Struthio camelus: one gene and its partners. The protein of the gene in region 4 interacts with the protein of the main gene of each other region in a biochemical or structural test. Links are inferred from orthologs where the notes say so. Each region holds a gene or a part of one and is shown on either strand. Other genes may lie near its edges. The genes, in order: PDGFRB, SH3BP2, LCP2 and PLCG1.

What was found.
Region 1: the proteins of PLCG1 (region 4) and PDGFRB form a complex in vitro, tested with the Homo sapiens proteins (3 studies listed by BioGRID and IntAct, with this or other methods). The link is inferred for Struthio camelus from reciprocal best matches to the Homo sapiens genes PLCG1 and PDGFRB.
Region 2: the proteins of PLCG1 (region 4) and SH3BP2 form a complex in vitro, tested with the Homo sapiens proteins (2 studies listed by BioGRID, with this or other methods). The link is inferred for Struthio camelus from reciprocal best matches to the Homo sapiens genes PLCG1 and SH3BP2.
Region 3: the proteins of PLCG1 (region 4) and LCP2 form a complex in vitro, tested with the Homo sapiens proteins (2 studies listed by BioGRID). The link is inferred for Struthio camelus from reciprocal best matches to the Homo sapiens genes PLCG1 and LCP2.

Annotation. Positions count from the first base shown.
Region 1 is NC_090954.1:7,334,130-7,341,641, forward strand, and holds the start of PDGFRB (platelet-derived growth factor receptor beta), read right to left. Parts: upstream 3,183-7,512; 5' UTR 3,057-3,182; coding exon 3,017-3,056; intron 1-3,016. UniProt on the Homo sapiens protein: Tyrosine-protein kinase that acts as a cell-surface receptor for homodimeric PDGFB and PDGFD and for heterodimers formed by PDGFA and PDGFB, and plays an essential role in the regulation of embryonic development, cell proliferation, survival, differentiation, chemotaxis and migration.
Region 2 is NC_090945.1:76,988,824-76,995,913, reverse strand, and holds the start of SH3BP2 (SH3 domain-binding protein 2), read left to right. Parts: upstream 1-4,034; 5' UTR 4,035-4,796; coding exon 4,797-4,906; intron 4,907-7,090. UniProt on the Homo sapiens protein: Binds differentially to the SH3 domains of certain proteins of signal transduction pathways. Binds to phosphatidylinositols; linking the hemopoietic tyrosine kinase fes to the cytoplasmic membrane in a phosphorylation dependent mechanism.
Region 3 is NC_090954.1:19,271,759-19,279,602, reverse strand, and holds the start of LCP2 (lymphocyte cytosolic protein 2), read left to right. Parts: upstream 1-4,750; 5' UTR 4,751-4,988; coding exon 4,989-5,066; intron 5,067-6,818; exon of another isoform or gene 6,819-7,009; intron 7,010-7,844. UniProt on the Homo sapiens protein: Adapter protein primarily involved in signaling pathways within T-cells, as well as other immune cells such as platelets, mast cells, and natural killer (NK) cells.
Region 4 is NC_090959.1:7,244,805-7,252,065, forward strand, and holds the start of PLCG1 (1-phosphatidylinositol 4,5-bisphosphate phosphodiesterase gamma-1), read left to right. Parts: upstream 1-4,188; 5' UTR 4,189-4,275; coding exon 4,276-4,477; intron 4,478-4,984; exon of another isoform or gene 4,985-4,999; coding exon of another isoform or gene 5,000-5,090; intron 5,091-7,261. UniProt on the Homo sapiens protein: Mediates the production of the second messenger molecules diacylglycerol (DAG) and inositol 1,4,5-trisphosphate (IP3). Plays an important role in the regulation of intracellular signaling cascades.

The DNA of each region.
Region 1 (7,512 bases), on a different chromosome or scaffold from region 4:
GTCAACACGGTCTCCTCTTGTGCGGTACCAGCCTGGAGGAGTTTACTAACCTCAGCTTTACTCTGTTGCCTGTTACCACAAATTCGTCTTGCCCTGGTAGCGCTGGAGAATGACTTCATACTCTTTTCTACATAACAATATTGTTCTGAATGTATTGAACAACCTGTCATAGACCCATGAATAACAAGGCTGGAGGGGAGACCATCAGGTCACTGTTGTGCTGTTGCACCACATCCTCCCCAGCCAGATGCTGCCTAACTGGCCTGGGAAACCTGCAGTGCTGAAGGCACCCGGCCTCACTGGGCAATCTGTCTGCAAACCCGCAAAAGTTCTCCCTAAAAGTTAACTTTTTGCTTTGCAGCCACCTTTCACGTACTCAAGGACTGCATGCCACCTATCCTTGGTGTTCAGCTATCGAACAGCCCCATCGACCCTTCTTTCAGCCCTCTTGCAACCTTTTCTGGCCTTCTGATCATTCTTGGTGTTTACCCTGAACCTTCCCAACTTGCGTGCACCTTTGCTGAAGTGTGGAGCTCCAGCCTGGACCTGGCAACTGGACCCGCATTGCTCGGAGCAGGGGACCCAGCCCCTCCACGCCGGCGTGGGATGGGCCCGCGCACGCCGCCTCCAGCCGTGCTCCTCTCGGCACATCCCACAGGAAGGGCTGCTGGTTTCCCTGTGCCGCACAGCGCAATCTGGTTTGTGTCCACTGCAGCCCCCGGATCCTTTCCCACACTACACGCTGCCGAGACAGTTAGCTCCCTAGATCCTGTAGAGCCGTTTAATGCTTCCTTCCTAAACACAGCACGTTGTCCCAACTCATTTTTGCCTGGTTAACTCCAGGCTCCTCCTTGAGCCCACTGGGATCATTTTGAGCTCTGATCTGCCAAAGTACTGGCTGCCCACCCGAGCCTGGCGTCCGTCCAGCATTTAGTACATGCGCTCTGCCATCGTCCGGTCTGTTAATGCAAAGATTGCGCAGAACCGAGCCCAGGCCAGAGCCCTGTGGGACCCCACTAGAAATGCCCCAAACATTTGACAACAAGCCATGGCTAAGTACACCGACTGCAGTATTACAGCGGGTTGTGCCTCTACCGTGCTGGTGTTTAGACTGTGCTTCCCTTACAGACTACTGGCACCCTGCTTAGGTGCTAAATGCCTGGCGTTGTGTGGGGCTATGGGAGGTGAACCAAGGACAGGTATTGAGGTGGCTGCAGCCTTGAGCTCCGTCCTTCTGATCTGGAAGAAGGGACATTTGGTTTTAGGGGGAAAAAAAAACCCATCCTTTTTTGTGCTGCAAATGGCTTGCTGTGACTTCTCGCAAACACCAACCCCTCTTGATGCACTGACTGACTCAGAGGTGCTTCCTGGCCCCAGGGGCGCAGCCCCTTGATGGGGATGGCAGCATGGGCCGCCCATGCTGGGGTGGCAGCAACATCAAGGAGTGACTTTGAGCCTCCCATCAGTCGTGTGCCCAGGGCAGGCTGCCAGCCAGAGGCAGCTACCTGGCTGCTCCACCACCACATCAGCCCAGCGAGTGCCTTCTGCCAGGCAGAGCTGTATCTCTGCTGCTGGCTCAGGCAGCCTAAAGGAAACGTGCCACCTCCCTGGGAGCATGGGATGCACAGACACTTTCTCCTGGCCCTGTGCTGGAGGGGGGAAATGGCCCGAGGAGCACTGAGGCTCAACTTTTCTAGCCCTTGTCACTAAGGGAAGAACATCCAAAAAGATTAGAGCCTGCCAAGACCCTGCAGACGGGGTTTGCATGCCAAACCCTGCCACCAGCCTCCCAGCAGCTGCTGCGATCACTGTTTGCCAGCTGCTTTAGCAGAAGTCCCAGCTGCTCTGGGACAACGATGGGGCAGCACAACATCCCTTTGCACCCCGAGCCCTGCTTTGAAAGCTGCCCTGCTGCCAGCTGACCCCACACAGGCTGGTTCCCGCAACGGCCCTGAAAAGCCCTACTGCGAGCACCAGGGTTGCAGACATCCATCTCCGGGGCCGGCCTGGCCCGTGGGGACAAAATCCAGCCAAGGGCCAGTGACAGAAACGGCACGTCCCTGGGAGCATTTAGGGACAGCTATGGCTGTGTTGGATGGTTAAAGCTCCAGCAACGCTGCAGTGCCTGGAAAGCACTCAGTACCCGTGGAAACTATGGGGGGAAACACAAACCGAAGCGCTGCCCTGAAGCATCTCCTAACTCAGCAAGAGCCTGCGTTCCCACGCCGGCCTCCTGCGAGCCGCCTCGGAGCCACGTAGCGGGTGGTGGGGAGGTGGGCAACGGGGTGCCTCTCGCCGGCAGGCCTTTTGCGGCTGCGGTGCCCGTCCCCAGGCTGCCCGCGGCGCAGGCAGGTCCTGGGGATGGGGCAGAGAGAGACGCACGTCCCCCCACCAGGTCCCCCGCGGCTGCGGACATCACCGCGGGCCGGCTCCCCTTGCAGCCCCTCTGCCGGGATAAGCACGCTCATGCCTCCGAGAGACACCTCGCTGCGATGGGGACTGGCCCCTTCCCACGCACGTCCCAGCTCTCCGATAACCACGGGGCCGGAGGACGAAACCCAGGGACGCCCGGCCGACGGCGGCACACGCTGGGATGGGGCACAGGGGACTGCGGCTGGCAGGACCGCGAGCCCCTGCGCTGCACAGGGGGGGCAGAAATCCCCCTGGGTCCTGGCTGCCACTGCAGCAGGGGGGTCCCCGCGCTCCTGCCCCGTGGTCACACTGTCCCCATGGGTGCTCTGCTCTCTGTCCCCCATCGTCCCAGCCCAGGAGCGCCTCTTGGCAGCCTGGCGCGAGCTTACGGGACGGCTTTTCCCGCGGGATGCTGCGGCTCTGGGCTGCTCTTGGCGGGACGTCTCGGGGCGCCAGCCCCCCCCCACGGGGCAGAGGACCCCCTTGGGGCAGAGAGCGCTGGGGGACCGCGGGCCCGCGCCGCCGGCCACGCTCGGGGTGCGCCAGCGTGACGGCCGAGGCGGAGCGGGCGGGCGAGCAGCCCCGGGGGGCATGGCGGTCCTACCTTGTGCGGCGTGTGCAGCGGGTGAGCGCCGGTGCCCCATGTCCCGGGGCGCCGGCGCCGCGGATGCCTCGCTCTCCTCCTCCGCTCTCCTTATCTGCTGCTTGCTGAGGCTCTTGCTGCCCTCCCAGCCTTCCCCAGCTGGCAAGGCTTTTCCACTTAAAGCAGAAACAGAGGGAAGGGAGAAAGTAACAGGGGGAGGAAGGGAAGGCGGGGGGGGGGAAAAGAAGAAAAAAAGCAAGGACAGGCTGTGCCAGGGCTGGGCTGCAGCCAAGGGCTGGGTCTGCTGCCCTAGTGCATCCCCGCAGCGCCCCGGGCAGCCCCCGGCCGCCTGGGGGGGTCCGGCCGCCTCAGGCCCCGGCGTGCAGGCCAGCCCCCGGCGGAGGGGTGTGCACGCGTGTGCGTGCGTGTGCGTGCCCGTGGATAAATAAAAGAGACCTTGGGAGGAGGAGAAGGAGGGAAGGTCCCGCTCCAATGAGGAGCTGAGCGCCTCCGACTTCCTCCTCTGCCTGCTTTCTCCCTCCACCCTCCGCCGGGACCATTCGCAGAGCAAAACTTTCGATTAAAGCCCCAACGGACGAGCGCGATGAGGTTACCCGGAAAAAAAAAAAAAGACAAAAACAAAAGGAGGAGAAGGCAAAAGCGGCTGCGAAAAGAGGGGGGGTTTTGCCGCAGGCGGCCGATGGGGGGGAGCGGCAAGGGCCCAGCTAATGGGAAACAAAAGGAGCCCGAATCGCCCGGCTCTGGCCTCCTTAAACCAGAGGGAAGGGGGCTGCCCTCTCCCTGTGTCTGCTTTCAATTCTGGCCTTTTTCCCTGTTTTCTTTTTCTCGCTCTCTTCCCCCCCCCCCCCCAAGCCCCCCTCCCCCCCCTTTTTTTTTTCCTTTCTCAGGATATGAGGGGATGTTTAGAAAATCCGCTGCCCACGCCAGCAGCTGACTCATGTTTTTATTAAAGACGGCCTGTGCTGAGCTGACTGTGCGCCGTCCCTTCGGATGCCTCCCCGGCCGCCCGGGGACTGTGACTCGGGCCGGCGCTCGGGGACCGCCAACGCGCGCACGCCGCCCGCTTTAACCCCACCCGGGGCGCTCGAGGGCACGCGGAGGGACGAGCCGAGTTGCCCCGAGGACCTGCCTGGCTTTTTTCACTATTCGCAGAGAGACCCTCGGCGCTCCCCTTCCCGCCCCGGCCGCACGAGGCGCGGGCGCTCGATGCCTGAGCGCCCCTAAGGGCTTGGGAGCAGGTTAATGGATGTGCTTTAAATCTCCCCCCCCCCCCCCCCCCAGTGAGTCTGAACAAATTTAATGAGAATCTCTGAATAGACAAAGCATTGCCGTCGGTCCTTGAGAAGAACCGGGCGGTCGGCTTTGCCAGGGAAACGAGGTGCAGCACGTCTTTGGGTGGACACCATCTCCAGAACGATCAATTCTTGCCTCAGTTTCTTTCTTGAGGTTGTGCCTTAATCTGACTCCAGAAAAAGAAAAACAGGGAAAAAGTAATGTTTCCTTAAAGAGGAGGCTCCCCTGAGAAGATACGCTTCTTGGCTTCTTTCTTCCTTTTCCAAGAAAATCTCCAAACCCTTCCCATAAAGACCACGCTGCAGAAACGGGGGGCTGGTTTGTGTGCTGGGGGGTGGCATCCCCTCCGGCTCTGCTCGGTCGAAGCACGCACAGCCGGGACAGCTAATGAGTCACTGCGCGAGGCGAAGAGATTGCGGCTTATCTCCAGTTATCTCCAGCGTTTTCTAGTCACTGACGAAAAGCCAAGGCGGAAGCATTGGACCCCGCGCTCCAGTCTGGTGGTGGCAAAGGAAAGCGAGGGCTCGGGCTGCGGTGCTTCACATGGGGCAAAACGCGCCGGCCCTGTGCCCGGGTGAGGTTTGGAGAGCGGACAGGGAAAGTGGCAGCCTGAGCAGGAGATACGGGTCCGGCTGAGCCCAGAGCGCAGCGAGATGATGGAGAAAAGGAGAGGATACAGGAGAGATGTCCCTAAGGATGGGGAGGGGGCTCTGCACTGGGCTCCGCAGGGAGGTGGCGTGAAGCTGGATGAAGAGGTGGCGGCTGGGGACAAGTGGTGGCAAAACCCTGCTGATCCCCTGCGCCGATTTGGCCGGGGTCCCTGGCTCCAGGTGCGTGGAGGCCTGGTGAGCAGGGCCACGTGGCAGGGGGGCCCGGGCGGTCCCTCCGGATACGGGACCATCTGTTGTGCAGAGCCCTTGAGCGGGAGACTGGGCTCACGTAGGGCGCAGGCGAGAGGGAACGTGCTGTGCACATGGCTGTTCCCAACACTTTTCCCAAAGGACAGAGACACGTCTGACGGGTCCCTGTGCAGGGACATGTGGGCGGGTGGGAATAGCTCTGCAGAGCAGCGCTCTGCAACATCTCTGCTCCGGGCTGGTAGGACATCTCTGCTCCTGACCCAGTGAGGCCGAAAGCCTGTGGTGCCGTCCTGCTGGGCCATGCGCTGTCCCCCTTCCAGCGGGGACGGGTCTCCGGGCCTCTCCCAATGCCCAGTAGCCTGTGGACACCAGTGTCCCTGCTGAGCAGAGCTGGCCACACTTGGGCCGGCAGGCAACGGGGCAGCCAACGAGGGGGCTGCTGTGCTCCGATTTTGGCTGAGTGCTGCTTCCCAGCCCCTGAGAGGGGATCGATGGGAGCTCGCAGCCACGCAGCCTAGCAAGGAGCAGGGAGCGGAAAAGCAAGCTCTGGCCATGCTTGAGGGCATGAGCCCCAGCTCCGCCGTGTTCCCCCTTCTCCTCCCTGCAGACGGGTGACCCCAGCGCTCATCCCCGGGCTGGGAGCAAGGACAACCTGGGCGAGCAAAACCCTTTCCTGAGAGAACTTTTTATGGCTCATGGGCCGTTGTTTTGGGATGCTGGGAGACCCTGCAGCGTCCCGGAAAGCACACGGCTGCTGCGAGTGTGCGGGGCCGTGCGCTTTGTTTGGGAACATAGCGCACTGGGGTTAAAGCAGCTCCTGGGAAAGGCCAGCTCGGAGGAAGCGCCAGCGCCGGAGGGACGCTGCGTGCAAGCGCGTGGGTGGAGGGCAACAGCTCACCTACCTCCGCCTCATCCCCTCTTCTTCGCTCACCTCTATTTTTGGCTCCTGCACCCCCGCTGGTGGCGCTTGCAGGACTGAGTGCTTCCCTTGGGGCTGGGACAGCTGCAGCGTGGGCTGCCAGAGCCCCTCTCAGCTGAGGTTTCCAGCCTCGGGCAAGCCCAAATAAGTGGCACGAGTGTTAACAGGAGCTTGGGGCTGTGCAGCGTGGCCCTTCTGGTGCACGAAGCAGCTGCTGGGATAGGGACATTCTGGGGTATTTGGACTGCGCTGGCAACACCAGGATCAAAACTGCATCCCAACCTCCTTCCCCCATCCCAGATGTAGCTGGGACCCTGGGAAAAGGCCATAGCTTGGGCCTGAGGTGGAGAAGAACCATTCTCCACCTAGTGCCCCAGCGAGGAGGACCCAACATGATGGAGAGAAAGGACGGGCTGGAGTCAATGACAAGGACCCATGTGCCAGCAAGTGAGAGGCAGGTGAGAAAGAGGAGGCAGAGCTCAACCTCTCCTGCTCCTTGCAGGCGTTAACAGGGGCCAGATTCCCCTGGGGTTGCAACTCCTCTGAGCCTCTCTCGGCAGAAAGCCAGGAATTTAAGCACCGCTCTGATGTGGTGTTGAACCTCAGACCACAAGAAAGAGGCGACTGGTGCTGGGGAGCAGAGAATAACATCTGGGCAAGCCATCCATCATGATAGCTGCCAGCACTTGCTCCCAGCTAGATTGAGCTCTCGGCACAGATACTTCACCCAGCCTTTTCCAAAGCTCTCCTCCGGAGGAACTGCTATGCTGTGCAGGGCCCCGCTGCTCGGGAGCTTTGCCAGGACGGCGGTGGGTGACAGCAGAGCCCGGTGCACCAGGATGAAGGGCTGGGGACAGAAAGTGCTGGGCTCCTTCCAGGGAGATCATCCAGCAAAACACAAGGGACTGGGGGGCTCCCCTGGCTCGTGCACCCTGCTGGGCTGGACGAAGGGCAGTTCCCGGGCTTTCCGGGCAGTGTCGCGGCTGGAGCGCCATGCCATGGGGCTGTAGCACTGACCTGCGCGCCCTCGGGGACGTACCACGGAGCCGTGTGGCTGTACGTCCCAGTGCTGAGGAGGTGCTGGGTCTGCTGCAAGCGACGGCCGGTCCCGGAGGAGCCGATGCTCAGAGGCAGCCGCTTTAGCCAGCAGCAGGGATGATGCTAGCACAGTGCCTTTCCCCCGAAAAGGGGCCTTTCCGCCCCCATCCCACGCACTCTTCCTAACCCCCGCGACGGGCCTTGGTATTAAATGTGCTCGGCGGAGCCCTGGGAGGCGGCGGCAGGCTCCTGGGTGAATACTAATAGCGGTGCCGTCCGGTCGCCCCAGACTTTCCCACACATCTGCAGCCACTTAACGTGGGAAGCGTTAACCCTCTGCTTGTGCAGCGCCTGCAGGGCCTGAAATGCTGCAAAGGAAGGAGCCT
Region 2 (7,090 bases), on a different chromosome or scaffold from region 4:
CATGATTTGTAACTCTGTTCTTGTTTAAATTGTGCTACAAACACTTGTGAGAGATGTCATAACCATAATCATGGAAGCACTTACCTTGCAGTCTGCTTGACAAGACCCTTACGTACAGGAAATTGTTACAAGGAACAAAGAACCTGTCCATCTGGTTTGAATGCTATATGAGAGTGGAAGTCTTATCTTGATAATGTGTCTTCAAGTTTATTTTAAGAAATATGATAAGCATGCTGCAAAAACGTTCAAGAACTTGCCTTTCATTTTAAGTATTTTAAAAACTTGTTTTCAACAGATTTGAAATCTTGTAATTAAATTAAGCCTTCTTTAAGTAGTGAGGTACTCTGGGTGGAATTGTATGCACCAAAGTTTGTTTTTTGTGGTGCTGTGAACTCCTGAGTCTTGTAATAGAGGACACAAAAAACGTACTACTACTCCCCTTGCCAGCAAGTGTGAGGTAGATTCATCTGGAATAGATGCATTGTATAATTCTTCTTGCTCTAAAGTCCTGGCTTAATGTGTCTCAAACTTGCTTATTTTGAGAATTGGAATGGAAAAATTGCACTGTTTGGAGGGCTTGTCTGCGTGACGCAACTTCACCTGTTCTGTTGGCACAGTCTGAGTGGGGTTGGCTGTGCTTGCTCTTCTGTAGGTTTGAGGGGCTTTTTGATTCAGTATAAAACCCTTAAATTAACTAGAAAAAGCTACTTATAATAAAATTGCCAGCAAGAAGATTATGCCGGGATAACTTTACTGATTTTAATTCAGTCCTTATTTATGTCAGTATGACATCTTAGGTTATTTTTCAGGGCTGGCTGTTACAAGAGAATCTGTTGAACAGTAATGTTGTATTGAGAGTTTGCAGACGGTTCCTCTCTTCCGGTTGCGGAGTCTAATCCCTTTTATACAGGCTATGCCTGCACAGTAAAGTACTTTGTGGCAGTACTTTGGTCTAGAGGCAGCTGAGCAATGTACGACACGAAGTATATCCCCAAATCAGTGTCAATACATTGTCTTCTAGGACCTGTGTCAAGCTGTTTGGTGAAACAACCAAAAGAAAATTACAGCTTTGTTTTAAAATACTTGAGCTCTTTTTCTTAAGTATGGTATCTTTTTGGCCGACTAGTGCTGCCTGCCTCTTCTGAAGACCCAAGTCAACAATATGCCTATACGTGTTCGTAGCTTCGCAGCAGCAGGGTATAAATAGAGACTGAAGTTTTCGACCTAAAACGTTTCTGGGTTTTGAATTGGATATGTGTTACCAAAGCTTCAGCTACTAGGTTTTTGGGGTGGGGTTTTTTTTTTTTTTTCAAGCTCTTCCTTAGTAAGCAGAGTGAGGGAATGGCAGCTGAAGTTTACAGAATTTGAGCTCATTTGGCACAGAGAGAGGATTTCTGGTAGTTTTGGCCTCATTCCATTCCTTCATTATTAATTTTTTTTTTTTACTGTTATTCTGCAGGTCAGCCATCAGAAGCGTTTCTGATGTGTGGTTATTCCTGTTTTCACAGGACTGCCTTACCTAACACATGAAGGATTCATGTGAGTAACTTCCACTTTTTCTTTTAGGTTCCGCAGTTGCAGAGCGTACTGTTTGCAAATATATCGTTTCTCGATATACTGGATGTGTCTTCCACTGATCTAGAAGCTTGGTATGAAACAAGTTTGGTAGAATTAGTAAAACAATAAGACTCAATCTATTTCTGATTCACAGAATCACAGAAAGGTTTAGGTTGGAAGGGACCTCTGGAGATCATCTCAAGCAGGGTCCTCTAGAGCGTGTTTCCCAGGATCGCGTCCAGAGGGGTTTTGAATATCTCCAGGGAAGGAGACTCCACTACCTCTCTGGGCAACCTGGTCCAATGCTCAGTCACCCTCACAGTCAAGAAGTTTTTCCTCAGGTTCAGAATGAACTTCCTGTGTTTCAGTTTATGCCCGTTGCCTCTTGTCCTGTCGCTGGGCACCACGACAGTTCATCAAAGCCAGTAGAATTGTAACAAATTTTTGCCTTGTTTTATATATTTCTGTAAAAGACTGGTGTAGTATGTATGATCTCTAGTGTTACTCTTGGTGGAACCTGACTGCTAAGCTGACAACTTGCTGTGGCTGCAGAAAAGTGGATTTTGTTACTTTCTTTTCTTTCTTCTTTTTTTTTTTTTTTTTTTTTTTTTTGCTGCTGGGACTTTCAGTCTGCTTTTACTCGCAGTCCATTCTTGCAGTTTCCTGTAAATTGGTCAGTAAGAGGAAGCTCTCAGTGCTGCAGAGACAGCTCAGCCCTGCAACTACACTAGTGAATTTGTACTGGTAAGGACAGCGTAGTGTTGCATGTGTTTTACTGCTCTAGCTTTACAGAAGCTTGAAGTAAGTTGCATTGTTTTTGGGGAGCAAGAGGAGTTTGTAATGATGGCAGATACGATTGACAGTCTTCCTCAGGCAGTGGTCCTGCTGCAGTGAAATTCAAATGTCAGTTGATTTTTTTTTTTTTTTTGATGTTTTGACTCTGCCCATTAAGGCTATCTGAATTAAAAATGTCATAGTGTTAAAGAAATGAAGTTCCTCCTTTTGGGTGAAATCTTCCCTGGGCTAGGTTGGTGGAAGGCCTTCTGCCTATAGATTTTGCAGGGACAAATGCATATTAATGGTGTGAAAGCGACATGCCTGGCTGTTTTGCAAAAATAAATTTCACATTATGAAGGAGGATATATTTCTCTTTCACTTCTGTAACAGACAAGTTAATCAAGGACATAAAGATTTCATGTCTATTCAACCTCTTTATCTGTGGTTGAAACACAACTGTTCTGATTAATGACCAGTCTAGAAAGTTAAGCCTGTGTGTTTTTTTTCTTTTTTTGTTCAATATTCTTTCAAAACTGTGGACCCTATAAACTTTTTTGTTCCTCACTGGAACACCAGCTTGTATTGTGTAAAATGTCTGTTATTCTGACTCTACGTTCTTCCTCTATGATCGTCTTGACAGGGTTGGAAATCACCAGAAAAATCAAAAGGGGATCTGGGAACTTGAAATGAACAGTGTGGCTCTGAGTGCCTAAGAGAGGAAAGGGAGAGGAGAGCAGCAGAAAGATCAGAGTCGAAAAGCAGTACTTCGGGAATGTGTGTTGGATAAAGTGAGACTATGGAGTCCAAACAGCATCAAATTAAAGTTGCGCAGTTTGAAGGGGAAAACTAAGGCATAGGTATGTTAGATCTGAAAATGGAAAGAGGAGCAGTGTATGCAATTCGGGAGAAAATGAACTCAAATACTGTCATTTTAATCATAGTTTTTCACTGAGGTGGAGATAAAGGTGGCAAAGATGGTAATGCAAGCTTTGAAGAGCATGCTTAGATAGCAGAGAACTCTTAGAGTATAGCAGAGAGCTAGGGGAAGAAAGATTGCTTTAAACCATTGTACGTGAACGCTTAAAGTTTAAATGGGTGACTTATATTGTAGTAGTTAAACAACTGAATTTAATGCACAAACTACAGCTCTACAGCTTTTCTGTTTAAGAAATCTGTTAATTAACCACTGAGACAACTGGATATTTATTTATTTATTTGTTTATTTAATATCTTCTAAATATTTTTCAGGATTTTGTCTTGATATGCTATTGTTTCTGGCTAGCAACAGGTGATGCTTAGTCTCCTTGCCCTTCCAATATTCCCTGGTTATGGAAGGAGTGCCAATGGGTATCCCAAGGTGAAGAAGATAGAGAATTGCTTTTCTACCCTATATATATGGCTAGTATGTGAAATGTTGTCTTCTTCTCTCCTTTGACTGCTGGGTACTTTACAGAAACAAAAGAATTTGTACAGAGACTTCTTCCTTCCCATTTTGGAATAGGGATTCATGCCATTTTTCCCAAAATACATGAAGTAAGCTTTATTCAGTGTATCAATCTATATAGGTTTTGTCCATCATTCTGACATAGGCTAGCTTTTTTCCCTTATCTGAACTTCTTAGCCGTGTGTTGGTTAATTCCAGACAGCCAGTGAAGTATTCAGATCTTTTTATTTTAAGAACTCTGGATGAATACTATTATAAATGTAAAACAATGGCATTTGTTTATCATCAGTTGGTGGCACTTGCCTGTAGAATTGTTCCCTTTAACTCATGGTCTCCTTGGGTTAGATTTTTATTGTGTTTGGTGGTTTGAATAGTGTCAAACGTACTGACGGTACTTACTACAAACTGTGTATATCCTGCATAATCTTTCAAAGTGGCCATTCTTAATATTTTGAGTTGGAGAGAAAGAAAAGCTCTAGTGATAGTGAAAAAGAGATGAAATACTCACCATATTTCTGTGTTGTAGGGCAGGTGCTGAAGCGCTTGGCGCTCTTCAGAAGCACCAGGCAATTTTTCTGAACTGTGCCTCTGCTGGTCTGAGAGCCTGAGTGCACTGTAAGAAAAGTGACTACTTTTTTTCCCCCCCCTCCCCTCTCCCGTGGGAAAGTGGTTGATTGAAAGATGAATAGGAAGCAACTTGAGCACTGGAAAATCCCCTCTGCAGTTTGGCTCACTGTCTGACAGAAGTTGAGATATACATGGCTTGATTTACAACCTCTCTGGGAGATTGGGAAATCTGACAAAGACAGTGCTGCCCACTAGCACTGGGGGAAACAGGAAGTAACAAAGGAAACAAGTCATTGCCTAGGCGTCCCCTTTGGCCACACTGCAGTGCAGATGCACGAGCAGTTGGGGCAGGGTTTCTTTTCCTTTTGTGTTGAGTGTACAGCAGCCGTCGCAGTCACACATTGAGCCTTATTATACACAGAATTGGGAGCAGCGCAGAGATGCCCCTCTCATGTCCGAGAGGGGTCATAAGTTATTAATGGCTTTGTTATTGCAAAGGAAGCGATCGTTTGGTGAAACTGTCAGCAGGAAAACTATGTGTCGATCAAGCATGGTCACCAGGTTAGTGCATGTCTATCTGTGGCTTGTATTTCTGTGTTCTTTCCTCTTTTAGGTGGAGAGCAGACTAAAGCTAAGAGTAGAATATTGTATTTGGGAAAAATATTCTTTACCCTTGAATTTTCTACATTAATTATTAGAGGGGGAAGAGATGAGAAGAGTTGGAACTGCTTGCCTGAAAAGAAAAGCAAGCTGAAGCAAGCTGAAGTGTGTGCCTCAGTCAGGCTTAGTTCTCTGTCCCCTTTGTCCTGTAAGATCTATTTGACTTCCCAGTGTTTGTGCTATGCTATTAATCCTTCTGAGAGACCATTGTGAAAGGAGCTGTTAGAAGTATTAGGAAATGGAACGTGTAACCCCCAAAAGTGGGAGAAATACGGATCAGCATTTCAGAAATACTGAAAAATATTTAATAAATGAAGAATAATCCTGCAGACATTTCAGGACTAGAAAAGAGTTTTGAGAACAGATGGTAAATGTGTAAACTGTTGAACTGAGAACTACTTTTTGTTCAGTCTTAATGAGAGCACACTGGGGAAACTTTTATAGTTCTACTATACACGTAATGCTACTTCAGTTTTGGCTAAATCATTTGCAGAGACTGAAACTTAAATCTCCCTCTGCAAGGTATGTGGAATGCATTCGTTTTCATAAATTCTATGTGCATTCAGAAGCAAACATCTTGCTGTGCTAGGTTTTACTTTCCAAATAGAATCTAGAGGCTTTTATAGAGTTTAGAAAGTCCTTAGATTTAATTTACATTAAAATAGCTTGCGATGAATTTGGATCAGATTCAATTTTTGTAATGCAGTTTTGGAGTCTAGTTTTTTTTGTTTATTTTTCAGCATGACCAGGCTCCAGGATAGACTGTAAATATTATTATGACAAGTGAGGACTTTTAACGCAGCTTTTGGCAGCGGTAGTTTCAGAGATGAGAGTAATGTGTTTTTACGCCTGTATGCTGCAAGATGTGGAGCTCATCACATCTGCTGTATGTTACACTTGAGTTCAGGAAGAACTGAGGACTCATGGCTCTTTCAGGATGCAATCCTTAGTTGAATCAGCCTGTATTTGCTTTAATTTGGCTGAATGCTGATAGCTCTTAAGGCCAAGAGGGGTGAGTGTTCTTCCGTAATGTATTCCAGATTTAATGTGGTAGAACTTTATTTTTACTTTGTTTGTTTGCTTGTTTTACTTTTTTAGGGTTTTTTAGCCTGTGAAATTATACCTCATACTCAAATCTAGCTATTTTCTATGCATTGACTGAGGGGATAGGTTGAAAATTACTTCATAGATGTGTACGTTTGCACATTATACAGTAACAGCAGCCTGTACGGTGTTTGCGGTTGTGTTTGATAACAGTGTCATTATGATTCAGAAGAAACTTACAAAGCAGCACGGCCTTATCAAGGGTACACCATGAAGTGCATAAGTTCACCTTTCTTCATGCCGTTGTGAGTTTCATGATACAGATGCCCTTCTTTGTGCTAAAATGAAGGGCACTTTATTTTGATAATGTCTAAGAAAGGTATATTCAAATGATAGACAGGGTTGGACTGACTTGATGCATTAACTGTGCACTGCAAACTGTTTTGGTTTTCAGTCTGGCGGACTGAAAACCAACATACATACGTTTGCAGCCGGCAAACATACACTTGCATGTATGAAGCAGGTACAACAGTACTTGCATTAAGTGCTGTATCTTGCTGGAGAGCAGTGTAACTGCACTGTTCCGTCTTTCAAAAAACGGTTGAAGCAGTTCCTATAAAGTGCTGTTCCAGTGTTTCTCCTACTATACTCAAAAGCCTATGATCTCCCTCAAATGGTCACAGGGATCATAAGATCACTGTCTGCTGTAATTCTCTTGTGGCTCAGAGGTCTAGTTCAGTGCCATTTCAGTGAGGAAGGAGGTTGGTTTAATAGCCACTTGTAATGGGTTTTGGGACGTGATGAAGACTTAGTCTAAAAATATGTATCTATTTCCTTGGTGACAGGAGTGGGAAGGAGCATGTGTGTGGCTATTACTAGAAACTAGCACAACACAAAGCACAAGTGTTGTTGCATTGTAGTTTCTAACAGGACAGGCATCAGCAAGTGAGCGTGGCTTGTCCTTGATGGCACTTGGTGGACCCTTTCTATTAACTTCATTGTTAACACAATGGAAGTGCAATTAAGTCAATGTAGTGCAAG
Region 3 (7,844 bases), on a different chromosome or scaffold from region 4:
ATTTCAAGCTTGCAGCTGCCTTCCTTGCTAGCAGAGCTTTTCATATCCAAAGGGCACGAGTACAACTGATCACTATCTCCCAAACAAGTCTGTCTCCTTTTTCTTTCTCCCTTTCCCAACTTCCCTTTTCCGGGCTAAGCAAAACATTTTCCAGCCTTTCCTCGGTAGACATAGTCCCTTCTAGTTCTCCTCTGCGGTTTTCCAGTTTGTTTGGATAAATGAGACACATTATGCCACATATGACCCTAAAAGAGTGGGACGAAATATTTACCTAAGGAAACTATACTACCGCTAAAGTATCTCAAACTATTTGCCTTTTTACAGCAACTTAGTTCGTATTTGTGCCTTTCTGATTTCTGAATAGAGTTCAGCTGCACTCTAGTGGCTATATTCTAGGATTTCAGGCATTTCATAACTGCCTAAACTCCATTTTCCCACCTACTCATACTAGTACAATTCACTCACAGTGAAAGCTATATTTCTTCAATTATGTACATTTTTTTCCATGCAGAAAAATTATTGCTGAGGCTGGAGCTCAGAAACAGTATGCAGAATTTTTCTATGAAATAGTATTTGAAGCCTGTATCTCAGATATAGATTCAGTCAAACCTTTTATTTCAGATGCAGGTAGGCTGGTAAGCATCTACCTCAACTGCTATTCTTAGGAAGGTGGCATAACCATAACCTAGTTTTTAACCCAAGTACCAAACTGGTACAGTGTCAGCTAATCAGTGTGCCATGCCTCTGCTTTAAAATAGTGGTCCCTACTCACTGGTGTTCTCTGCGGGCTAGCCGCTAGGTGGTGAGGCAGGTTTGTAATTAGAATCCAGCCAAAGAGGTTTTTGTTAACTTTTGAAAAACTTGGTTCTGCATCTTCTATTACTGCACAGACATTGCAAAATGAAGGTTAACATTTGACTGCAAGATTGAAGGGAATAATGGATAAGGACATTTAAGGAGTGGCAAGTGTGGCTTAGTGATTATTAAAGACAGTAAGGAATATACAACATTACTAGGAAGATATTTAAATGGCATAAAAATGAAAACATTCTTACCATGTTGTATAGGCATGTATACAACTCGGAATGAGAGGATGCAATGATAAAAGAAAACGTAGGTTGGCAATAATAAATAGTCCCAAGATGAAAAGAAAAAAATTATTGCCTGAGACTTTGAAAAACAATACTGGCCAGGACTACAGAAAAACATGTCATCGAAATCCACTTTGCTTTGGGCTGGAGATGAACATGAAGACCACATTCATATGAAATTTGAACTTTTTTTGCTTGGCTCTAGAAAAATTGACCTGGCAACTGTTTATTTTTTGCAGAAAAATAAACCACTCTGAAAGCTGTTCTAAGTAAGCCCTTGATTCCACTTTGAGCAGGGTGCTAGGGGACAGAAGAGATGAGAGGACATGGAAAGTACTGAGGCCCTCTGAACACAGCAGAATGTGGGCAACGTGAATTTCCCTCCTACTTTACCTGAAAGGGCTAGGCTCTCAGATTTCAAATACTGCTTAGCAGACCATTGCTACATCTGAAAAAACTGTTCCGCTGGCAGCTGTTATTAGAAGAGGCATATTTCTTTATGCCAAGGTTGTGTCACTGCAGGTATTGACTTTAAAAGACCTAATTCTTTCAAAAGGGAAAAAAAGGTCACAGTGAAATAGGTATGAAACTGGTAACAGTTGTAACATGAACGTTCTCCTCAGAATTTGGAAATCTAGGAGAAATTTGGAAATCTGAATCTAAATCCATTTCATGGAAGATTGCCATCTGATGTCTATAACAAATTCTATTACAGAAGAGATGTGTATTGTCCTGCAAACTCATTCTGTCTTCACTTCCGTCCTCACTTGCAACATAAGATGGGACTACTAAGATCTAAAAGCATGTGATCATTCCCTCTCATGAAAAACACAATAGCAGGATCTAAGCAGAAAGTGAGGATTGCCACCTCTGAAATGTTTTCAGTTAACAATCGAATTCCTGTATGTAGCTTGTCAAACTTGGCTTTCTTCTACAAGAGCTCTCTGTGGCCTTGTATGTTGGTTGTGGTTCACCCAACCACCCTGCAGTCATTCCGTCTTCCTCCATAAAAATTGGATGTTATTGCTTCCCTAACATCCTTCTTTACCCTCCTACCCAAATCTGACTAGAGATTAGACATGGGCTTTCCTAAACTTGGACATTCAACTTTTTCAATTTCCCCTCTTGGCAGCCATTACAGTGTTGGGAGTTCCCTCTCTATGAGCAGAAGACGCTGCAGCAACAGGGGCACTGCGAGAAAGTGCTGATTCTAGATGCAATAACTGTGGCTCTGAAGAGAGAGAGAGAAGCAATAAACAAGTGGGGAAATGCCAGAAAAGTGAACATGGGAAAAACTGAAAGAGAAAGGCAATTATGTCCTTTTCTTTTTTCCAGGACCAAGATCTCCCTTTGTTGAATATAGATTTGCCAAATTACATTTCTGGGCCACAAAGAAAGACATTTAAAGCATTTTTCATAACAACAACTCTATGCAGTTCAGTTGGGATTGGAGGATGTGACTCACGTGTGGTTATCTGTGAGCTGAGTAACATTTTCCGCACTAAAATACATACATAGGTTAGCGATGCAATTCAAAATTGTTACACTAATGTAGCAGTATAGCTAAAAATTCAAATGCAGAAAACTCAAAGTTATGTTTTCTCAGCAACCCTGACACGGCCACCACATCCTATGCCTTTATCAAATTACAAAAAAAATGGTTCTAGACAAAGAGAAAGCTCAAGTCAGTGTGAGCTGGGATTTTGTAAAACGCATGCAATAAGCATGTACCTACAAAATATTTACAGTGACTCACAACATAAAACAAAAGATCATCCATCATGGGATCCAAGCAAATAATAATGATGACTTCAATGTGTTAAGACTTTCTGTGTTAGTGGCTCTCTAAAATAGTAGATAGACTTTAAAGGTGACCGACTTTCTCTTTGAACATATAACAATGTCAGACTAAACTTTAATTTAGCTAATAATTTTTATATTACTGTAAGTAAAGAATAATACCATTGAAATTGGAGTTGTTACATTAGATTTACCTTGGGATAGAAATTTGATTCCAGAGCCACGTGGAATGTACTGAAAAACTGTAATTGCACGAACAGTCAGAAATTACAGCATGGTCTTCTTCACGTGTCTGTACTGGAAGAAACCGTTTCTTTGTTGAAAGACCTCATGGTGCCCGGTGGGGAGTTAGAGATAGATGTCATGTAACCTCCTCTTTACTGCTGCTGCTGATACACCATCAAAACAACTTTTCCTTTGGGGTTCCTTTGTCACATGTTCATTTAGTCTTATTTCCTCCTTAGACCTAGATTTAAAATGAAGAGGTGATGATGTTTCTGCGATACTGTCAGTATATGCTTCCGATGGTTTATACAGGCCAGTGCAAATAAGAACCAATAAAACTTAGCTCTACCATGTATTTGCTAAGTTCTATGCTGTGTTTAGAACAGCTGTTACAGCAGTTTAGTTTTAGAGAATTTTAAATACCTTGCTGCCATCATTTCCCAAAATGTTTCTCTAAAAAAGCAAGCTACATTAAATCAAATGAAGACTATACATTTCAAAAGGAAAATTCTCATGCATAATACTACAGAGACTGCTATCTCAACTAGAGCTGTATGCAATAAACTTGTGAATTTGCGGCCCAATGTCAGAAGGTCTTCAATGACTAGAAAGAGCAAGAGTGAGGCATTTCATTAGAAAGAAGAGAAACTTTCCTTTCCAGTGCTTCAGAACTATGATCTATTCTTTCTAATATAGAAAGTTCACAAAATACCACCTTCTGTCCTCTCCACTGGAGCAGATGCGGACCGTGACCCCAAGCATGCACACCAGTACAACCTGGGGAGGAAGCTCCATATCAAGAAAAGTGAGAATGAACACGCCAGGTCTTTTTAAAAAAACAGGTGACTTTTGAATTACTCGATGTACTCTCACCAAAGGGTCTCACTGAATGGATGGTGCAGGAATTGGCTATACATGACAGATGCTGTTTGTCAGGTACCTGCGGTAATATTATGGTTCTGTGGATTCTTTTTCAGACATATAACAATGCTCATTAGAGGCAGCTAAGAAATGGAGCTAGAGGGAGAAAGAATGGCAATATAGTCATTTTTTATACGTTTGTCTTTTAATTTCACTGAGAGATAGTCATCACCCTAAATTTGAAAGACTGAACAAATGATGACTGTATTCACACTCCTAAATCATTCATACCTTCTTATGTTCAACGTCAACAAGAACCTTTTATTTTCTGTATGTAATATAAAGTAGCATACTGCTATGCACATATGATTTGATCAAATCCACAGACATAATGGAGAGCCTGCTAATTAGAATTTGCATATGAGTTTGAGAAACCTATCGCATGAATTGTATTAGATTATAATATAGAAAGCCAATGTGACACTCCAGGCAGGGAGATAGGGTGAAGAAGTTTCTCTTAAGTAAACTTTTCTGTGTTTTCAGAGACTGCCTGGGCAAGACTGGCACAGAAGCAGAGATCAGTGCAGCAGAGATCAGTGCAGTACCAGTATTTTTATACTGGATATAGTATAGAAATATGCCAAGACGTGCTCTGATGTAATTACAAGCAAATAGAGTCCATAGGAGCTTACTTATATGCAGCAAGCAGAGCATTTTCAACAGGTTGCTGTGCTTCCTTGTTTACTTATTTATATATACAGACAAAGGAAGTGGTAAGGCTGACTAGCTGACAACTTTTCTGAGAAGAGACCATTTTGTATTAGAGGAAGCAGTAGCTCTCTTGGATGTGCTAACAACGTGATTCTGAAATAAAAAGTCTGCTAAAGAGAAGGAGCTGGGCATTTATTTATACGTGCTGGAGGTGATCACACACAGGGAATACATGGCAATTTCATTGACACTACTGGCATGAACATTCTCTAGCTGCCTGAAAGAGAAAACTTACTTACAATGGATTTGAGAAACATTCCCTATCGTTCAGACGTGGTTACCTGGAACCCGGATGACTTAGCAGAATATTTTAAGACGGTGAGTTTAACTGTGTTTTGTCTTTGTATGACAGAGGAGCAAACTACTGCGAAATGTTTATGCTAAAGATAGATTTTTTTTAACAGAAAAAGTTTGTTGCAAAAATAAAACCAAAAACCACCACCAATTAAGAAACTGAGCTAAACTTGGTAGTAAAACCTATAAATGAATCTTGAAAGTGTATTTTAAATTAACTGTAAGAGAAACTGATGGCTTTGCAGAGCAAATGCACACACTACTATAACAATTGTTGATAAAACATAGATGAAGGCTGTAAAATACATTAATGTGTAAAGATTACAAGCTTTCTAGGTCTTCTTCAATGATTTTCAGAAGTGAGATTTTTCAAATTGCTCGATGTTCACAAATGAGATTCTGAATGTCTTTGCTAATCAAGGCATCCATATGAACTCAGCCAGGAACTCAGCAGATGTGGATACAAGAACTCCTGCGGGTTTTTTAGGGTCAGTGTGAAAACCTTTTGCCTTGTGGTTCTAGTTTCCTACTTGAAAACTTCCTGGATGAAACTCATGGGTCATTTCCTCACTTCTCCCCTGTTTATGAGAGAGCTTTTCATCAAGGTTACTAGCCACCCCTTTTCTCCCCTCACTGTTACTTTTTCTGAAATTACCTTGTGTGGTCAGCTAAGGACTTCTGCTTCTTTTAACATACCTTTCACTGGTGAACAGTTCTAAATTTCATTTTACAAGGTGGAGGATTTTCCACAGTTAAGAAATACTTTCAAAGGTAATATGGCAATTCAGTGTTAATCTTCTACATAGCAATGCTGACACCATTGTAATTGCTCAGGAATGTGTAACTGACTCAATTTTACTGAAATTTCATTTCTATATGTTCTCTGCAAATTCATCGTTTTTCAATTCACATAAGAGAGAGTGCCTTGTCTATCTCCCTTGCTGCAGAATATGTTCCTCCTCAAATCCAAAACTGTCAGCTTGGAATTTAACATTCAGATCAATCAAAAGATTTGGGAACATTTTCAAGCAATGTGAGCATACATGTGTTCATTTTCAAGTGAGCTATCAGACTAGTCTTGGGGGGAAAAAAAAAACAGGGTCACTTCAGGGTTTGCCACTGAAATCATGCAAAATTCATGGTTTCAACAGTTTTCGTAGTTTTCTTTGGGGAGTTGGGGCAAGTTTGAAACTAGAATGCAAAACTAGGCAACAAACAGATCAAACAAAAAAATCAGTATTTGCAAAATCTCCAGAGAAGTGAAACTGCCAGCTATCTGCAAACCTTTAATTCCAGGCACAGTGGTTAGCAGCACAGTACAGTGGAACAAAGAAGCAGAGATAGAGCAGATGAGCTTATTACCAACAACCAATTGCAGATGAATAAGGAAGACATTACAGCATTGGTGCATGGTGGTTTGGATCACCATTTCCAAGAGACTAACAAAAGAAATGGCTTCCTGAAAGAGCTGCTAATGATTTTCTTAGCAGCAATACAAGGATCAACTCTAAGTTCTATCATAATTGGTACACGGGTTTTTGAGTACCTCCCCTTTATTGATGCACAGACACCCTCCAGGATAGAGGTAATGTTAGCATTCCTCTTTTGGACAGGAGAATCAGGGCCAAGAAAAGCTACTCAAAGTCTTATAGGAAATCTGTCAGACAATGATGTCAACCTAAGTTAGACAAGTCCGGGCTAAGTGACCAGATCCTTCTCCCCAAATTAACCCATACCATTTCCCTCACACATAGATTAAAGGGTCCAGTACTATACCTTAACAATGTTTTATTTTCATCTGACTGATGTATTTTGCCTTGGAAGTATCCTGCAGCCCCATGTTCAGGACTTCAGTTCCAAGAGGGATGAGCAAATCTTTTCCTGCTGCACTGAGATAATTGAGGGATGATTTTCAAAGGAGGGATGATTTTCAATCAATCAGTCACATTCAAGTCCACCATCACCTAACAAAGCGATCATGTGGTCATGTCACAGGGCAGTGGAAGTTAAGACCTTTGTCAATTCTGGTTAGCAGTTGCTCGTTGCTGCTGTCAGGATTGTGCTGGCGATACTGTGATGGTATTCACTATATGAAAGAGTTATTATTTATAGGTTTAAATCTTCAGTCAGCACAAGTTTTAATATGCATTTGAAAATGTTTAGCAGAGTTAGGTCTGTTTCTGTATATGAGTAACTGAAGGTGGCTCCCATAAACTCTCAGCTGTTCAAATGTTTCTAGGATCTGGTCTCAAACAACAACTAGTTACAAGATTTAATTGTACTCCTTAAAATTGACTAGAATAAAAAAAAAAAAGAAGAAGAAAGGACATAATGTTCCCTTTAAGACTCCCAGCAGTACAAGATCTGTTAGCTGTATAACTTTTGACTAGCTAAAGCCCCAGACGAGGCTGTAGACATTCTTTTATTTTGAGAATAAAAAGTTCTCCCAGAAGTCACTTTGCCTACTCTTTGGGTTCCTTCTGCCATGGACTTACCTACTTGAAACAGAAGAAATGCCTTCTAGCCATTATATTTAATGTATTTAATCCCTTAGAGATCTAAAAGATAAGCTGTTTTCTTACATGATGTTATTTCAGTTCAAATCTAAAACTTAACGCACCCACTGGAAATAGTTAAAAGTCATGTACTTCCAAACGTGGCTATTTTATTTTATTTCTGTGAGTCCCTCAATTTACATTTAAATTTTATCCGAATAGAACCAGGAACTTTCTTGTTCCTAAATATGTGAAAATACACTGAAGGATCTTTGTCTTAACAATCCATGTTTACGGACCAAAATGA
Region 4 (7,261 bases):
CCCTTGGAGCCCTACACCGCTCCGCGTTGGGAAACTGAAGCCGGACGAATTCAAGATATAAATAAATAACATGGTTTTATAGCAAAATCGAAGACGGGGGACAGTGAATCTGGAGCTGCAGTGGGTTTCGCAGCAGCCGGCATTTTATAATCCGGAGGGATGCTGAAACGCGAGCAGGGGCGAGGGGGACGGCGGGGCGAGCCGCAGGCGGGGGCGCTCGGAGAGGTAGGCCTGCCTTGCTGGACACGGATCCGTCCCAGGCTTCGCGGCTAACGCAGGCAGCAGGCAGCGCGCCAGCGATCCTCGGCGGCTCCGCGGCCCCAGGCGGCTCTGCTTTCCATCCCAGGCCAAAAAAAAAAGGCCCGCGCTGCTCCGTGTCTGCTAACACGGCGCGAGGGCGGGAGGTAACCCAGCACCGCGATCCCCGTCGGAGTTTGCGGAGCCTTTCCTTGCTCGCTGCAAGGGCAGGAAACACTCGTCCTCAGCAGCGATTTTCACAGCCCTCGGGCTGGTTGCTCGTTCGCTAAACCGGGGAGCTCCCCGGGGCTGCAGCTCTGCTTACGGCAACACAAGAGCAGAAAGCAGTGAATAAACAACCCGGGGCACGGTTCATCTCTCCAGGAGGCTGCAAGACACTGAGTAACTCTCCGATGAGGTTCTGGCACCTCTTCTCGAAGCGCCTTCCCCTGGGCTTCGCGATGCCTCTGGGGGGGCCTCAGGTTTTTTTTAATCTAGATTTTTCTCACCAGACCTTGAGCCAGGCCATAGTCTGTCCTTAAACCTGTGGTCACCTGGGTGTTAGCCCGTTGCTTGTTCCTGGGCAGAGGATGCAGCTGCTGCGTGAACGCATGCAGGATTGCAGGATGGGGGGGTTGGCACCCCATGCTTGGGACTGCAGATCAGGCCAGGGACTTTGGGGGCCGGGCTCATGCAGGGGAGGTGCTGGGGCCATTGCCGAGGTGAAGAAAGCCTTTCTCTCAAGGGGTTTTGCAAAGAGAAACTTGGAGAGCCCCGCTCACCTCCCCAGCCGTGCAACGAAGGTGATTACGGGGAAGTGCTTCAAAAGCAGAATGCTCCCAGCGTGGCCCACCCCGGATCAGACCCCAGGACAACCGAGGAGTACGCAGTCCGCAGGGGCTGGAGGAGGTGGCTGGGTGTGATTGCTCACTGTCTCCAATACAAGAGCAGGGGGCTGCCGAACGAGGCCAGCAGGCAGCGGACAAACAAAAGCAGCTTCGCGTGCTGTAAAATCAAGCTGTGAAATTCCTTGGCACGCAACAGCATGAGCACTGAGAGCCTACGTGGGTCTAAAAGGTGGTTAGTCGAACTTGCGGAAGAAAAAAATCCAGCCAAGGCTCCTTGTTGCAAACCACCAGCTCAACATGCGTGCCCGAGAGACCCACGTCTCCGGTGCCGAGGGGACACGGACGTACAGGGGAAGGACGGGCGGCCCGTCTGCCTCCAGGCACCCACTCGCAGCGGCAGGACAGGGCTGGCCAGCCCCGGCGGAGCCGAGACGGACGCTCTCGTGTGGCTGGGACCAGGTGGCGTTTGCTTCCCCCAGGACCTGCCGTAGCGGCTCGTGCCCCATCCCTGAGCTCAGCAGAGCCGGATAACCTCCTCGGGGGGAGCGAGCAGGCAGCAGGAAGGAGACGTGTTCCTGCAGCTGCCTCGCTGCGTCGGTACGAGCCGGACTGGTGGCACCTGGACAGGCGTCAGCCACGGCGCTGGGGTCCCGTTAGCTGCGAGGAGGAGCGGGGACCAGATGTCCCTATGCCCTATGAGCCCCATCCTACTCACAGAGGCGGGTAATGACCAGATATACCCACGTGCTCAGCTCCATAAGTTACCTCTCTGCTTCCTCACTAGCCAGGCTCCCCTCTCAGGTTTTGCCCTCAAAAACAAGGGTGTGCCCATGCCGCTCGGCTATTTTCGGACCACTGGGAGCCGGCTGCTTCCTGCCGGTCCCGAGCGCGGCTGTTACACAAGCAAGGGAGCAGCTTCCCCTTCGCGAGCGGCAGGTCGCCCCTTCGTCGTGCGTGCGCAACCGGGGCCCCCGCGCCGCGGTCCCACGCCGGCAGCAGCGGGCTCACCTGGCCGCCGCTGGGGATGCCCAGGCTCGCCCGGGGTCACCGGGGCTGCGTTGCAGCCACGTGTTTGTAAGAGCTGCTCCAGGCAGCTGTGCCTTTTCCGAGCGCGTGCCCAGCGTCCCGTCGCCCCAGGTCATCTCTGAGCTGGCTCCCCTCCCCGGCGCCCCGTTGCCCCTCGGTCGGGGAGAGCCTGAACGTCGACCCCGGCGAGCCGACCCCGGCGAGCCGACCCCGGCTCGCGCGGCAATCGGATTTGCGGCGAGAAGCTGCTCTGAGGACAAGGAGGGCAAAGCGCAGCGTGGAGCTCGTTTTTTGGCTTGCTCTCTGGCTCGCGGTGCCGTCAACGTGCAGGTCGTTTTGACGCGGGCAGGTTTAGGTTCTTATCCCGGTTTTGTTTTTCCTTTCTGGTCTTTTTAACGCCTAGGAATTGGGCAGGATCCTTTAAAACCGTGAACGTCGTAGGGCTGCTTGGGCACCTGCATGTGCTTGCGCCTGTCCTTTAGACGCCGGATGGGGGGTAACCGGACACAGACAGTGGCTTGCGTTTGGGGTGCGTGCGGGGTACCCTTAGGTTGGGCGGGAGACAGCATGGGGATGCGCTTGCCTTCAAGCAGGCCGGTTCGTCGCCAACGTTTCCTGCGGGGTGGCCAACGGCGGTGTCTCCCCCCGGGGCCGGGCGTCCGGGAGACGGCCGCAGGCGCAGCCCTGCGGGGCGGCAGCCTCCCGAGGGGGAGGAGGGCAGCGGGGAGGAAGGCTGGGAGGGGGGAAAGGGAAATTGCAGGCTTTAGCTGCATGAATGGAGCAAACGGTCCAGAACCGCTTTCCAATTCAGCCGCTTATCCCCTTGCTAAGGCGGCTTTTGTTTCCCGCGGAGCGCAGCCCTGCGGCGGCACAGCTGGGGGGGGGCAGCTGGCTGCGAGGGGGGCTCAGCCCGGGCGGGGGGCTTCTCGCCCCGGCCTCTGCGGCCCGCACCGAGCGCACGAGCTCCCGCTGCTGCACCGAGCCGGCTCCCCCGCCGCTGGGGCACGGCCTTGCTCTTGCCCCGGCCCCCCGGGGCCAGAGGCAGCGGTGGGCGCTCGCCCGTCTGCCGGCCGCGAGGGCGAGACCTTGCGCCCACCTAGCGGCCTGCACTGCCTCCCTCACCTGATTTAGCCCCCAAAAGAGCCAGTCTTGCTCAAGTTGCGCGGCCCTGCGGAGCGGCCGTCGGCAGGCCGCGGCAAGGACCGCCGGGCAGCCCCACGTCGCCGCGTCGGACAACGCTAGCCACGAGCCGGGACCGGCGAGGAGGACGCTGCTGCAGCCGGAGGCCGGGAGCGGAGCCGCGGGGCTGGACCCCCCTGGGGCTGGAGGGAGCACAAAACCCTCCCGCCCGACCCCTCGCAGCGCGGCAGGGTGGAAACCACCTCGCGTCCCCAGAAGCGCCCGCTGCCAACGCGAGGTGTGGGGGGCTGCGGGGGGCTCGGCTGGCTCCCTCCTGGCTGTGCACCGGCGCGCTGGTAGGTTCACGCCAGCACCCCACACGTGCCGTGGGACCCCACGTGTGCTGTGCCATGGGGCGCACGGCACACTGGCACCTCACACGTGCCGGGGAGCGCTGGGAGCCCACGTGGGTTGCTGGGTGCGGGGTGCGCTGGGACCTCAAGCACACCGCGCTGTGGGGAGCATGGCACTCCGGGGACCCCACAAGCGCTGCAGAGCGCACAGCACGCTGGGACCCCATGCGAGCCGTGCCGTGGGGTGCACGGCACACCTGGGAGCCTGGGAGTGCCGTGGGGTGCGCGGCACGCTGGGACGCCCGAGCGCTGCGCCGTGGGGTGCGCGGCCCTCCTGGGACACCGGGCAGGCGGCGCGGTGCGTGGCTCACCAGGACCCCACGCGCGTCGGAGCAGGGGGTGCTAAAGCCAAAGCCTGCAGTTTCCCTTTCTCCCCTTTGTGCGGCGGCGGCGCGGGGCTGCGGGGCCCGGCGCGGAGCAGCGGAGCAGCGCAGCCGCCGGCACCGCGAGGGGGCCGCGCTCCGCCGGCGCGGCCGCCCCTTCCCTGCCCCCGCGCCCGCCTCCTGGCCGCCGGCCGCCGCGGCGGGCGGGCATGGGGCGCGGCGGGCGGCGCTGAGCGCGGCGGCGGCGGCGGCGCTCCGGGCGCTCCCGCTCCCTTTTGTTCGGCGGCTCCGCGGCGGCGGCGGGCGCTAATGGCGGCCGGGCCGGGCAGCGGCCCCGGCGCGCCCAGCGAGGCCGAGGCGGCGCACCTCTGCCGCAGCCTGGAGGTGGGCACCGTCATGACCCTCTTCTACTCCAAGAAATCCCAGCGGCCCGAGAGGAAAACTTTCCAGGTGAAGCTGGAGACGCGGCAGGTCACCTGGAGCCGCGGCTCCGAGAAGCTCGAGGGCGCCGGTGAGTGGGGGAACAACGGCGGCGGCGGCGGGGGGAGAGGTTTCCTGGTTCGCCCGTGCCGGGGCCGGGGCCGGGGCCCGCCTTGCCCTGCGCTGTCCTGCCCCGGCGGGGACCCGGGCGGGGCGGCCCGGGGGGGGCGCGGGAGCGGGCGAGCGCCGGGCCCGGCCCCGCCGGTGCTGCCGGGACGCGGCGGGTGGAAACTTCCCGCACCGTCCTCGGTGCCGTGCACCGCCGGCTGCCGCGGAGGAGCCGGCACCTCTGCCCCGGGTAAGGCGCACCGGGAGGAGGCAACAGCGGCCGTGTGAGCCCCGTGGGGGTTACACCTCAGAGCAACGGATGAAATTAAACAAACAGCCCCCCTCCCCCCCAAAAAAACAAAAAACCCAAAGAAACCCAACGCCAGAAAGTGCACCGAAACGCCCCGTAAGGTCAGCGCTGCCTCCTGCCCTCGCCCCTTTGTGCCGCCGTGAAGGCTGATGCGGGGTCAGGGCTGGCGTGGCGGGTCCAGGCCCGTCTGCGGCCATGTGTGCGGAGCTGCTTGCTGGCTTCGGCTTCCCGTGGGCGACGTGGTTCTTTAGCACGAGGAGGGTAGGAGAAAAGACTCATAAGAAACGTGAGTATAAAACCACAAAGACGGGTGGGAAGGGAGAGAGAGAAGGGAGGCCCCACACCAGGAGACTTCTAACCTCTTGCTTTGGTTTCCTAGCTTACTGCTGTTTCTTTTAAGTTACCTTTTGCACCCCCATGCGCACCAGTCTGAGGACACTGTCTCTAGTTTGGCTCTGGAGGAGAGGAAGAGCTGACACGCACAAAGATGAGGTGACGTAAATCCTGGTGCCGTCACTGTCGTGCGTTAGCACCATCCCGCGCGTTAAGGGATGTGACTGAGGCACAGTGCAGCTTCGATGGAGGTTGTCGTCTGTCCTCTGCTAACTTCTGCTGGCCCAGGGTGGAAAGGCTGGAAATATTTAATGTTACCAGAGGGCTCAGATGAAGAGAGGACGTGGAAATGATGGACACAGTTCTTTAGCAGGACCTCAAATGCTAGTGTGTCCAATCTGGGGCTTTCGTTTGCTTCAAAACCCTTGGAGTCTTCCAGCTTCTCCCCAACAGCTCCTCCAGGCGGATCTGGAGGACGCCTAGGTTTCCCAGCCCCATTAACATCGTGGGATGTTAAGTTCCTCCATACCTTTCTCAGGGTGGCCTCTAGGAGCTTTCAGGCAGTGGGAGAAAGAGGGAGGAGCCTGAGGCATGGCTTGCCCTGGATTTAAGTCACTTTTAAAATATGGAAAAGCATTAGCTTGCTGGCAAGATGCTGCATTTTGTGGCAGTGGGGGACCAGGGCCTGTGAGGGAAGAACCCCTGGAGGGGCTCTGGTACCTGCTGCCCTGTACACGGGTGATTATTCCCATGTGCAGATGTAAATGTTGAAAACTTAATTTTAGAGAAACCTAGAGAACTTTAACTTCTTGCACCAAAACTGTAGTAGTAACAATGCTTATAATGTCTTGCCGGTGAGGACTTACTGTGCTGTGCATAGGGTGAAGACCAGACCAGTAAAAGCAGAGAACAAGTTCCAGGGACCGAGGTAATCAAAAAAAGGCAATCCATGTGTTTCTAGCAAATGAAAAATAAGAGTCAGTGGTCACTGAACACCTCGTTCCCTTATGTCCCTTTAAACATCGTAGCAGAAAGTTGTTGGTGAGTTGGCCCTGGTGGCCTTGTGCTCATGGTCCCCAGCATGTTCCTCACATCCCATGTTGAGCGCAGCCCTCCCAAGGCGTGTGTTTTCTGACATGTCGAGATGGGTGGTACTATAGCAATAAGATGTCACCGTAAAGAGGTTTCTTCCTCCCCAAGCTGTCTCTGATGCCAGATGCACTAATGCCCAGCAAAGCAACTTTGTTGTCGTTGGCAAATTCTACACATGGCCTCTTCTCTGCACCTACCTCCTCTCACCTTAGCTGTTGGCCTTAGTTCCCTCCTCCTCCCAGCACCCAGAAGAAAGGGTGTCCTGTTGCCCAGCAATCCCGAACACTTGGCCAGTTTCCCCATTTTCATCTGAATGTGCTTTCTGGGTGTAAAAAGGATGCCTGGGAGACCCCGGATGTATAGATTCATAAGAAATGTGGCAATTATGTGTTCCACGTATGGCGTTTTATATGACAAATGCATTGACTTATTTCTCTCCTGGCTCATCCCACTCTTGAAATCTACCCTTGATTGGCACAGGGCCCACTTGGCCATGGTCTGATCCAGGGTAAAGAGTCTGAGCTGGAGTCAAGCTGACCATTTTCAGTTAGGTTTAACCAAGAGCAGTGACTGATTCAGTTCTCCTGAGGAAGGCGAGCAATGCCAGGACTGGGAGCAGATGGTTGGGGCTGGCAGGGAACACTGGGCTTGGCTTTCAGTGTCAGAACTGTCCAGGCCCTCATGTCGAATATGCACAAGACTGCGAGCTGAGCAGAGCGGCCTGTTGTCAGGACATTTGATGTTCTTTTGCATGGAACAGCATCTGTGCTGGGCGATGCTTGGGGGGTCTACAATTCGAAAACTGCAATGTTCATGGGTTGGTAATGAATTTATTGTGTTTCCTGAGACTTGGAGACCTAAAAGGAGCTTCACTCTCCCCTGGACACAAGCTAGTTGTCTAAATAAGAATGATCCTAATTTTTTTTTATGCATTTTCAGAACAGGTATCTGCAGCATACCACCTACAGAGGCCTCAGTCTCAGGGCACTTTTGTGTAGATGTCTGTGTCTTGGAGATGCATTTGTCTCCATG